Caenorhabditis elegans: one gene and its partner. The protein of the gene in region 2 interacts with the protein of the main gene of each other region in a pairwise test. Each region holds a gene or a part of one and is shown on either strand. Other genes may lie near its edges.

The links. The genes of interacting proteins can lie anywhere in the genome.
Region 1: the proteins of lin-37 (region 2) and F10G8.8 interact in a two-hybrid assay, tested with the Caenorhabditis elegans proteins (3 studies listed by BioGRID).

The regions. Positions count from the first base shown.
Region 1 is NC_003279.8:10,058,982-10,063,829, reverse strand, and holds the start of F10G8.8 (PH domain-containing protein), read left to right. Parts: upstream 1-1,803; 5' UTR 1,804-1,841; coding exon 1,842-1,949; intron 1,950-4,848.
Region 2 is NC_003281.10:7,070,356-7,074,386, reverse strand, and holds lin-37 (uncharacterized protein), read left to right. Parts: upstream 1-1,834; coding exon 1,835-1,959; intron 1,960-2,008; coding exon 2,009-2,143; intron 2,144-2,580; coding exon 2,581-2,860; intron 2,861-2,907; coding exon 2,908-3,077; intron 3,078-3,267; coding exon 3,268-3,385; 3' UTR 3,386-3,497; downstream 3,498-4,031. Other genes in the region: ZK418.13 (Pollen-specific leucine-rich repeat extensin-like protein 1), read left to right, coding at 1-103; ZK418.5 (BOS complex subunit TMEM147), read left to right, coding at 554-626, 673-806, 984-1,181, 1,232-1,368, 1,419-1,554; tmem-17 (transmembrane 17 domain-containing protein), read right to left, coding at 3,502-3,663, 3,731-3,853, 3,902-4,015.

The DNA of each region.
Region 1 (4,848 bases), on a different chromosome or scaffold from region 2:
TTCCTTTTATTCTACCAAATCAGTCATTCTTTCTGAATTACCGATTCCTGATCGTGACTCATCAATTTTTATTCCATTTTCTTGCATTGTTTTTGATTTCTCAGACATTGGAGTTTTCATGTTACGAAACATAAAAACAGCCTCACGAGGTTTCTTTATCACCAATGAATGTGAGTACTTGTGTGGAAGCTGTTTTGGTTGAGAGTCATCTTCCCAGGGCAAGTTACTTGATTGTTTGGGGTTTGATTATGCTATTTTCATTAAAAAAAAATTAGATTCTCAGTTCTGACAATGTTTGGGAAATTTGACATTTATTATGAAGCCTCGTCAAAAAAAGTTTCAAAACCCAAATGGTTCAATCACATGACACTTTCTTATCACCAACTGGTCCTTGCACTTCTTCTACCAACTTCCCTCTATTCCCACTTTTCCGTTTTCCGTGTTCATGTCCCGGGGTCCGAGAGAGAAAGAAAGAACGCCTGTTTGATATCTGTGTCTCTCACTCTCTTCTTATCACTACTATCTTTAATTGTTTCGGGGTCCCCCCACTACTACCCTCCTCCTCTTCTTTCTTGTGTTCCTCATAAAGAAACGAACGAAAAATACGTTTTTTCTCTCTTCCTACTGTTTTTCAATTTTTTGATTATTTCCATGTTTCTGTAGCCTTTTCTTCTTTCCGGTTGGCCAAGAAACAATTATTAGCTTTTTTGTTAATGAAAAGAAATATCGATAAAACTGATAAGAAAACAATTGGTTTTGTTATCAGTTGTTTCTCTCAAACCAATCACTTACCCTTTTTCTCATTTTTCGAGAACCGTTTTTTTTCTGTCTTGGTAATTTTTATCAGATCCAATTCATTGAAACGAGAAGTAATAAAATTTAAAACTCAAAAAATTCATTTAGTTTCAAAAAATATAAAATGCTTTCGCTACAACTACAGTAACCTGCGAGGAACTTTTTAAAAGTTATTTTTATCAAAAACATGTTGTTAAAAATAATAAATTAAATTCAAATGATCGACTATGACTATGAAACAATTTAAAAATGTTGTTTTCTTTCAGAAATTTCATTTAAATTCTAAACTTTTTTTAGTAACTGAATTAATTTCAAATTGCTGGGCAAAATGATTACTGTAAAGCAACACAGTTTTGTTGGATTTTTTTTTATATAATTAAACTTTTTGGAATGATGATACATTTTGCAGAATTTTTTAATTGGTCCTAAATCGGTTTCACTTCGAAACATTTATTTTCCGCGGAATATTGTTTCAAAATCAGGATTTTTATTGTAGAAATTGCAAAAAAAAATTTTTCAATGAAAAAGACAAATTTTAGAAGTTTTAATTTACACAATTTCACACTCTCATCATCCTACTTCCCCAAAGTACATTACCAAAAATTTCAAGAAAAAAATGATACTAATATTTTCTGAATACTCTTTCACCTGGTCATTTAAGTTCCATATTTTCCCAGTTTCTCAATAAAATAGTAAAAGTGGCTCGTAAATCTTTCGTCAGTGAGAGTGAAACGGCTCGACTGGACACGGGGACACGGGACACCAATTGAACACTAAATTGCGGTCAGAAAGGGAGAAGAAATCTATAAACTGAGGAAAAGCATATCTCATAATGTGAACTACTCTATTTCAAAAAGTCTTAGCTGACCAATGACTCTTTTAAAATATTTCTATTGAAAATTCAAGTTTGTTTTCTCAACTTTTCAATATTTTCCCACATGTTTCTTTATTTTCTTCCTTTCCGTTTTAACACTCAAACAAAGTCAATAACAAAAATGTAAATTTCAGACCACATCCATGACAGGAAACTAGAATAAATATATAAAATGAACGACTGTAAGCGGTTTGAAGCAAATATTTTCAATAATGGAAAATGCAAGATTTGCTATAAATCCAAACAGAATCATTCATCAGAATCAATTGAAAATGCAAAGGTAATTTTTGTTTGATTTTTAGTTGATTTTTATTTGAAAAAATAACGTTTATGACTTTATAAATCAGTATGATTTGGCCTAAAATTCAGCTTCAATCAGGTGTTTAAATGAGTTTTTAAACATGAATTTCCAATATTTTTCAGTAAATTTTGTTCGAAAATAGCAACTATTTTTTAAAAGATTTATTCGAAAATACTTTTAATTCTAATTCAAAAATTTCCAATTTTTGGTAGTTCGAAACTTCCATGAAAATGCCAACACTTTTTTAACTTCAAAATTAAATTAATATAAATTCGTTAGTTTTTTAAAAATAATATTTTGATTCTAAATTTCACTTTAAAATATTAGAATATCAAACAGAGTACGGTATTCTACTAAACTACCAAAAATAATTGGCATCTTCCCAAACGCTGTGCCCCGAATTTCTGCGAATCTTAAAACTAATAATTAATTGTAAGAAAAGCTTTTTTTTCTGTTTTCCCGTCTCCATTTGCATTTTAATGTTGTAGAAAGACGAAGATTGAAAAAAGCACTACAGTTTTTTTACAAAATTCAATATTTTGGTGTTTACATAAGGTATAGTTTATTGATATGAAATGAAATCAGTAGTATTTGAAAAAGAGTATACTGAAAAAGACATGTTCTTCTTTCTGTGTCTCTCAATTTCTAATACTATTTATCATTTACTTTTTTATTGATAACAAGTCCATTTTGCAATCGGAAATGATATAAAAATGCATAGTTGATTATTTTTTGGAATGCTTTTCTCTTCATTTTAAGGTTTTTTGAAGTATCTGATTTGAAAAAGAGCATTATTTATTTAATTCTAAACTTTTGAGTTTAATTATTTATTTGATCAGTTCTCAACTTTTTTGATTGCATTTTCCATTTCTAAGGGTACACAATTTTCAGTTTGACACTTCAAAAGTTCCAACAAAATATTAGAATAAATTATAATTGAACACTCCAAAATTTTTTAGCTTTTTAAAATTTTTTTTTAAATTTTTAGCAAATTGAAAGTTTTAGAAATTTCCAAAAATTGAAAAAAAAAACTTTAAGGTTCGCACGTTTGAACTTGAATAATATTTTAATCCGAACAATGGAAACAAAATTAAAATATTTGCAAAAAAACCTTTTCCGGTTGACTTTCGAAATGCTGATAGGCGGAAGCTGTAAATAAACTAATTTTGGGCTTTTTTAGCACCACAGAGGTGATTTGAATCATCTTCCCCATTGCCGCTTCTCCACCTTTGAAGCTTTGATTGTTTTGGAATAAAATTTTCAGCCAATACCTCTAAGCTGGTAATAGATACCTGAACATATAGTCTTAGTTTCACCAATCGGTTCCACTTTCATTCTTTTTTGTGTCTCATTTCGTTTCGCATCAGTTATTTTTCTGCAATCACACTTCGGCCCATTTCTTTTTCTTATCCAATCCCAATACATTTTGTTTTTTCATTGGAAGACGTTCGTCTCTCTTCTGAGCAATTATCCTTTCTATCTCTAAACTCTCTTACTATTTCAATAGTATTCCATTTCATAAAAGTGCGCACTTTTGGGTCGTCCAGAGACATTCAACCAGAAAGCATTGATTCTTCCCTTCTTTTTCCTTCCTCTTGTTTATTTATTCAGCAGTGACACTATCCTTCACTATTCCTCTTCCATTTCATCCATCCTTGCATTTTTCTTATTTTTTTGGTAGTTTTTCTCTACAGTGACCCTATTAATTGGCTCAAGTTTTATTTCTAATACCGACACACACGATTTTTGCTTCAAACAATTATGGGACAAAAAGATGAATTCCACTTGACATTTTGTGAATGCCAAAAAATATTCCGAGATATTTTTTGTGTCATTTAGTAAAAGTCACTATTTTTAGCTGGTCTAAGTGAGCACTGAGTTTTGATTTTTTTCAAATATTATAACATCATCAATGTTTTTTAACTGAACCTGAGGCTCTGATTTTTTAGGGAATAAAAAATTGAGTGTATAAGTTTTGGATTCAAAATGACGCATTTAATAAATAAGTTCGTAAGTTAATTTTAGAATTTCTGGAAATAAACTTCTACGTAATTGAAAGATATGTATGCCTACCACAGAATTGATAGTTCCCTGTTAATTTTCTATTTTCTATAAACATTTATCTAAAAGTACCATAAAAATCGCAATCTTATAAACTTGAGCAATTTCGTTTTTTCCTGAAAAACATAAACACGAAATTCTAGACAGATTGCCTAATGCACCATTGGCCATCCTCCAATTTATAAATTTTAATCCAATCTTCTATCATCTTCCACTTATTATTATTATTATGCCCACCACTTCCAATCATGCTTCTTCTCTGACCATCATCTCCTTCTTCTTATCATTTGATTGCGCATCATTTTATCTGTTTATACCCGACTTGGCTTGTATCCAAGTTTTGAACACCCACTCACACATTAAAGTATCTTCATTCGTCTCGATATATCGTGTTCGTGTTCACTTTCTACATTCATTCAATGACCTGCTTTCTACCTTCCATTCATCCTTGTTTTCAACATCTTACCACTCACTCTTTTTCTCATTTTCTCTTATTTTCTCATGCTCTATCGTTCATCTAGATGGATGTAGGTAATGACTGGGAGAAAGAGAGTAGAATCCATCCTCCAATTAGTTCCTTTTCTGCTTCTAGAATTGTTTTTTGTTGTTTCTAGGTCTAACTTGCACCCATGACATTTGGATTTTCAAAACTTGGATTTTGAAAAAAAACTTTTACTTAAAGGCGCACGGATTTTTTCAGATGGATAGAAGAAAGTATTTTCAATAATATCATTATACATAGTTTTTGTAAAGGAAGAGCTTTTTTGAAGACGAAACAAATGTTTTCAATTCTTCAATTCTTTTAAAAATCACATTT
Region 2 (4,031 bases):
CTACAGCTCGGAATCCAACTGGTGGTTGCTCGTGGCACTGGTGATGCTCACAATTTTTGCGTACCGCTCTTCTATGGAACAACACACTTGCTATTACGATTGATGATTATGATTATAAAGATCTTTTTATTTGTAAATTATTTGTTTTAATACGAATTCGAAAAGTCTGCCATATGATAGAAAGTCCTATTCAAACTTCGCGCGTAAATGGTTCTCAATAAAGCGCGGTTGCACTACTCTTTTTTTGTCGCTCTTCGTCAACTTCTGGTAGCGTGAGCCCTTCAAATATCATCATTCAAATGCCCATTTTATCGATTTTATTGAATTTTAGTTATTTTAAATCCAATGATTATTCTCAAAATGAATTTCATAATCATCGGCTGGTGTTTTTGAAGGTTTCTAGTGTGTCCAAACGAAATTTATAGTCCTAAAATATTAACATTCAGTAATTCATAATTGCTTAAGAATTAAAAATTACCTTCTTTGTTCCTTGATATCAAGTATATAGTTTTAATATTAATTCAATATCTTTCAGGTAAGCTAAATCTACAAAATGTCATTTTTCCATTTCATCAATTGCTTCGCGTTGGCATTTGCACCATATTTTATTGTCTACAAATACTCAGGTAATATTTTTTATGGGAAGTCAATGAAACACCACTATTTTTATAGGAATTAACGAATACAGTTCCATCTGGAAATGTGCAACTGCTAGTGGTGGATATTTGCTGACACAACTCGCCAAACTGCTTATCATTGCCACATTTTTCCCAGCCCTCGACAGTGAAGGATTCAGTATTGTGCCGGTATGTAATTAATTTTTCTATTCAAAATTGGAGCTATAAATAACGTTTCAATGAAAATCATTTTAATTCAAGTTTTAAGTGAAATTTACCATAAACCCATCCTCGCCGGACATAATCCTTCGGACACTTCAAACTTATTGATTTTGGTTTTCATTGCCAATCTCAGAATCATTGCAGGAATTCCTAAAAAGCAGTGCTGACATCATCGATGTCATTGGGCTTCACCTTCTGATGACCAACTTCTTAGCCGGAAAAGGAGAAGTTCGATTCGTTGTCGGTGGTCTTGGCTGGGGATTCGCTCATTCTGTTGCTCATCGTCTTGTTCTTTTATGGGTTGGAGCTCGTGGAACCGCTTTCACATGGCGTTGGGTTCAGGTGATCAAATCTTCCTTTTTTCTGAAAAAAAGATAATATTATATTTTCAGACATCTCTTGATTCCTCAGCTGATCTATTGGTTATTGTGTCTCTCGCCTGCCTTACATGGATGATCACCCGCACTCCAAACAAGTTCTTGGTGTCACCGATCCTTGCGATGTGTGTCTTCTCAACATTCGTTTATCAGTAAGTATTGGTTTTACTAGTCAAAAAATGTAAATTTTTTTTTATTTCAGAACCGTTCAACACACATTCTCTCTCTACGGATGGTCTCTCTTGGCATTCCGCTTTGCCTACTCCATCGCAACAGCAATTCTCACCGTCGTTGTCTATTCGGCAAACCGGACAGCGTCCACAAGAAAGAACGAGTAGCAACACATATTCTGCTATAATTCACTTTTTGTCAGTTTCAATACTATCTTAGATTCTTTCAGAATTTATATATTTATTCGAAATTTTCTTCTCTCCTTGTTCATGTTTATACAAGTACCCAAAAATATTTATTGTTTAATTTAATAACTGCTTCAAAAATTGTCGTCCTTATATTTACTCTACAATTTTTATCTCTTTTTATTAAAGGTTAAATACCTTTATTACTTTGGCAAGTATTCGCTGTTCACTGTCCAAATAATGTATTCCTCTCCAATTCTAGATGTCAGAAATAGATCCACTTGCCGAGTTCTTGCTTCCAGAAGACGGAGATCGAAATGCTCGTCAAAATGATCCATTGATAAGCGGAGGTCCACTTCCATTGGAATCGCCAAGCAGAAAACTCACGTAATACTTTCTAAACTTGAAACAATTGTGCTACTCAAGATGCTTCCAGATCCCTGTTATCCTATGATCCGACAGTTCCGGAGTCACCGGATATGAAATTCGCCAGAAAACGTCTGGGAAATCTGCTGACAACCATAAAACATCACCCATCGGAAATAATTGGAGTACTCCCAGAAGATTATACGTAAGTGATAAAATGGAAAATTTCAATTCTTGTTTAATTTTCGGCAGAGTATACCATGCCTGGGGCGAAAAATCATTTTTTTTTTGGTTTTGATTTTGTATCAAAAAGCAAAAATATGTAAAAAAGCCAAAAAAAAATTGGAGATTGAATTTTAAACCTTAATATTTGAGAAAAAGAATTAAAAACTATGCAGAGCCACATTTAGTTTGAAAGAAAAGTAAAATAAATTTTGTACACAGAAAACGTTTACAGTAAATACAGCATTTTTTTTCAGTTTTTTGGTTCCAGATAAATAGTTAATTTTTGTCAAATGTCGCGTCCTGGAATATACATAACAGAAAAAAATTTAGACAATGTGGACCTTTTTGTTTTTCGTAATATAAATTTTAGACATAATTGAAAAATTAGAGTTTCCATTGCATTTTTTATAATTTCAGTCGTGCTGATGAAGAGCCCGGGCGCCAAGGACGTCCACCAGGTCGCCCTCGTAAGATGCCGCGTCACGAATCTTCAACTTCACTTATGGAATCACCACGCAAGACTATGACTCGTGATTCTAAAATTATGTTTGAATTGCGTGGAAAACCATTCGAAATGATAGCTGGACGTTTTGAAGAAGAATATTCACTTGGTAGAGCATGGGTTAAAGGACACATGAATAATGAATATGAACCAATAAAAGCTCAAAGGACAGACTATGCACCGAATCTGGCTGTTGTGAGTGGGAAAGATTAAATGAAAAATGTTATAATTATTTCCTTCAGGATTATCTTGCATGTCGCGAGATTCATCGAATGCCACGTCCAGATAAATCAATTCCTGAGCTGCCAATTGTTCCATCTAGAATCGATGAATTCGACGCTACAGTCGATCCAAGATATGAAACAGATTTGAAAAATGAATACATTCGTCATTGGAAACAAGTCAAAAAAGGGTAACACTTCTTCTGCCATTGAAAATTTCCGTAAAAATTTATTTCTTAAAGTATTACGGTAACTGTGCTCTATGTTAGAATTTCATTTGTCGAATTTTGTATCAAACTATAAAATAAAAAATATTGTACTAGCAATCTGTGATCACTACTATTTCTTCAAAGTCAGAGAATCCAAAAAAAAAAATTTCAGTTGGTGTGCTCATCAACGTCGTCGGACTGCTCCCCATGCAAGAAGCATAGCATTAATCAACAAAATCTACCAGCCTGGAGAGTCGAAAACTGTCGAGCAAGCACTTGGTCTTATTTAAATATTCTAACATGTAATTTCAATTTATCTCTTACTTTCTGATCTTGCTATCACATGTCTCTTATTTCAAAAATCTCACTTTAAAATTCATATAAATAATGGGTTTATTCAAATACATCATCTTGACAATTGTTTTTTCAACGTTTTTCTTCCACTTTTTGGAGATTTTCCTGAAGTTTTCTCGAGCTCGTCAGCTACTTTTTCTTGTTGAATCTTGTTAATATATTTTGCAACTTCTCGTTCGGCAGTTTTCATCAAAGCTTCTATAGCGAATACAGTCTGAAATAGAAATATTTTGAGAATATTCAGATTTTTGAATTTTCACTTGAAATCCACTAAAAATCACAATCATTGTGTAGAAAACGTATTCAAGTGGGAGATTCAGAAAAGAGCCATTCACTGCCAAGAATACTGTAAGAGGAATTTGAATAATAATTGTAGTTATTAAGAATCCAAAAAGAGCTGACATCTGTAAACACTAGTGTCGATTTTCTGACTTGACTCATTCAAAACTTACATTTTCTGCCAAATTTCCATAAAATCCAAGTCCTAGCCGTACTCCTTCACTTCCCAAATGAACTAAACACGCAGAAAATGCAATTACTTGATACGTTAATGACAGCAGACTATGCTGAAATTCAAATAAT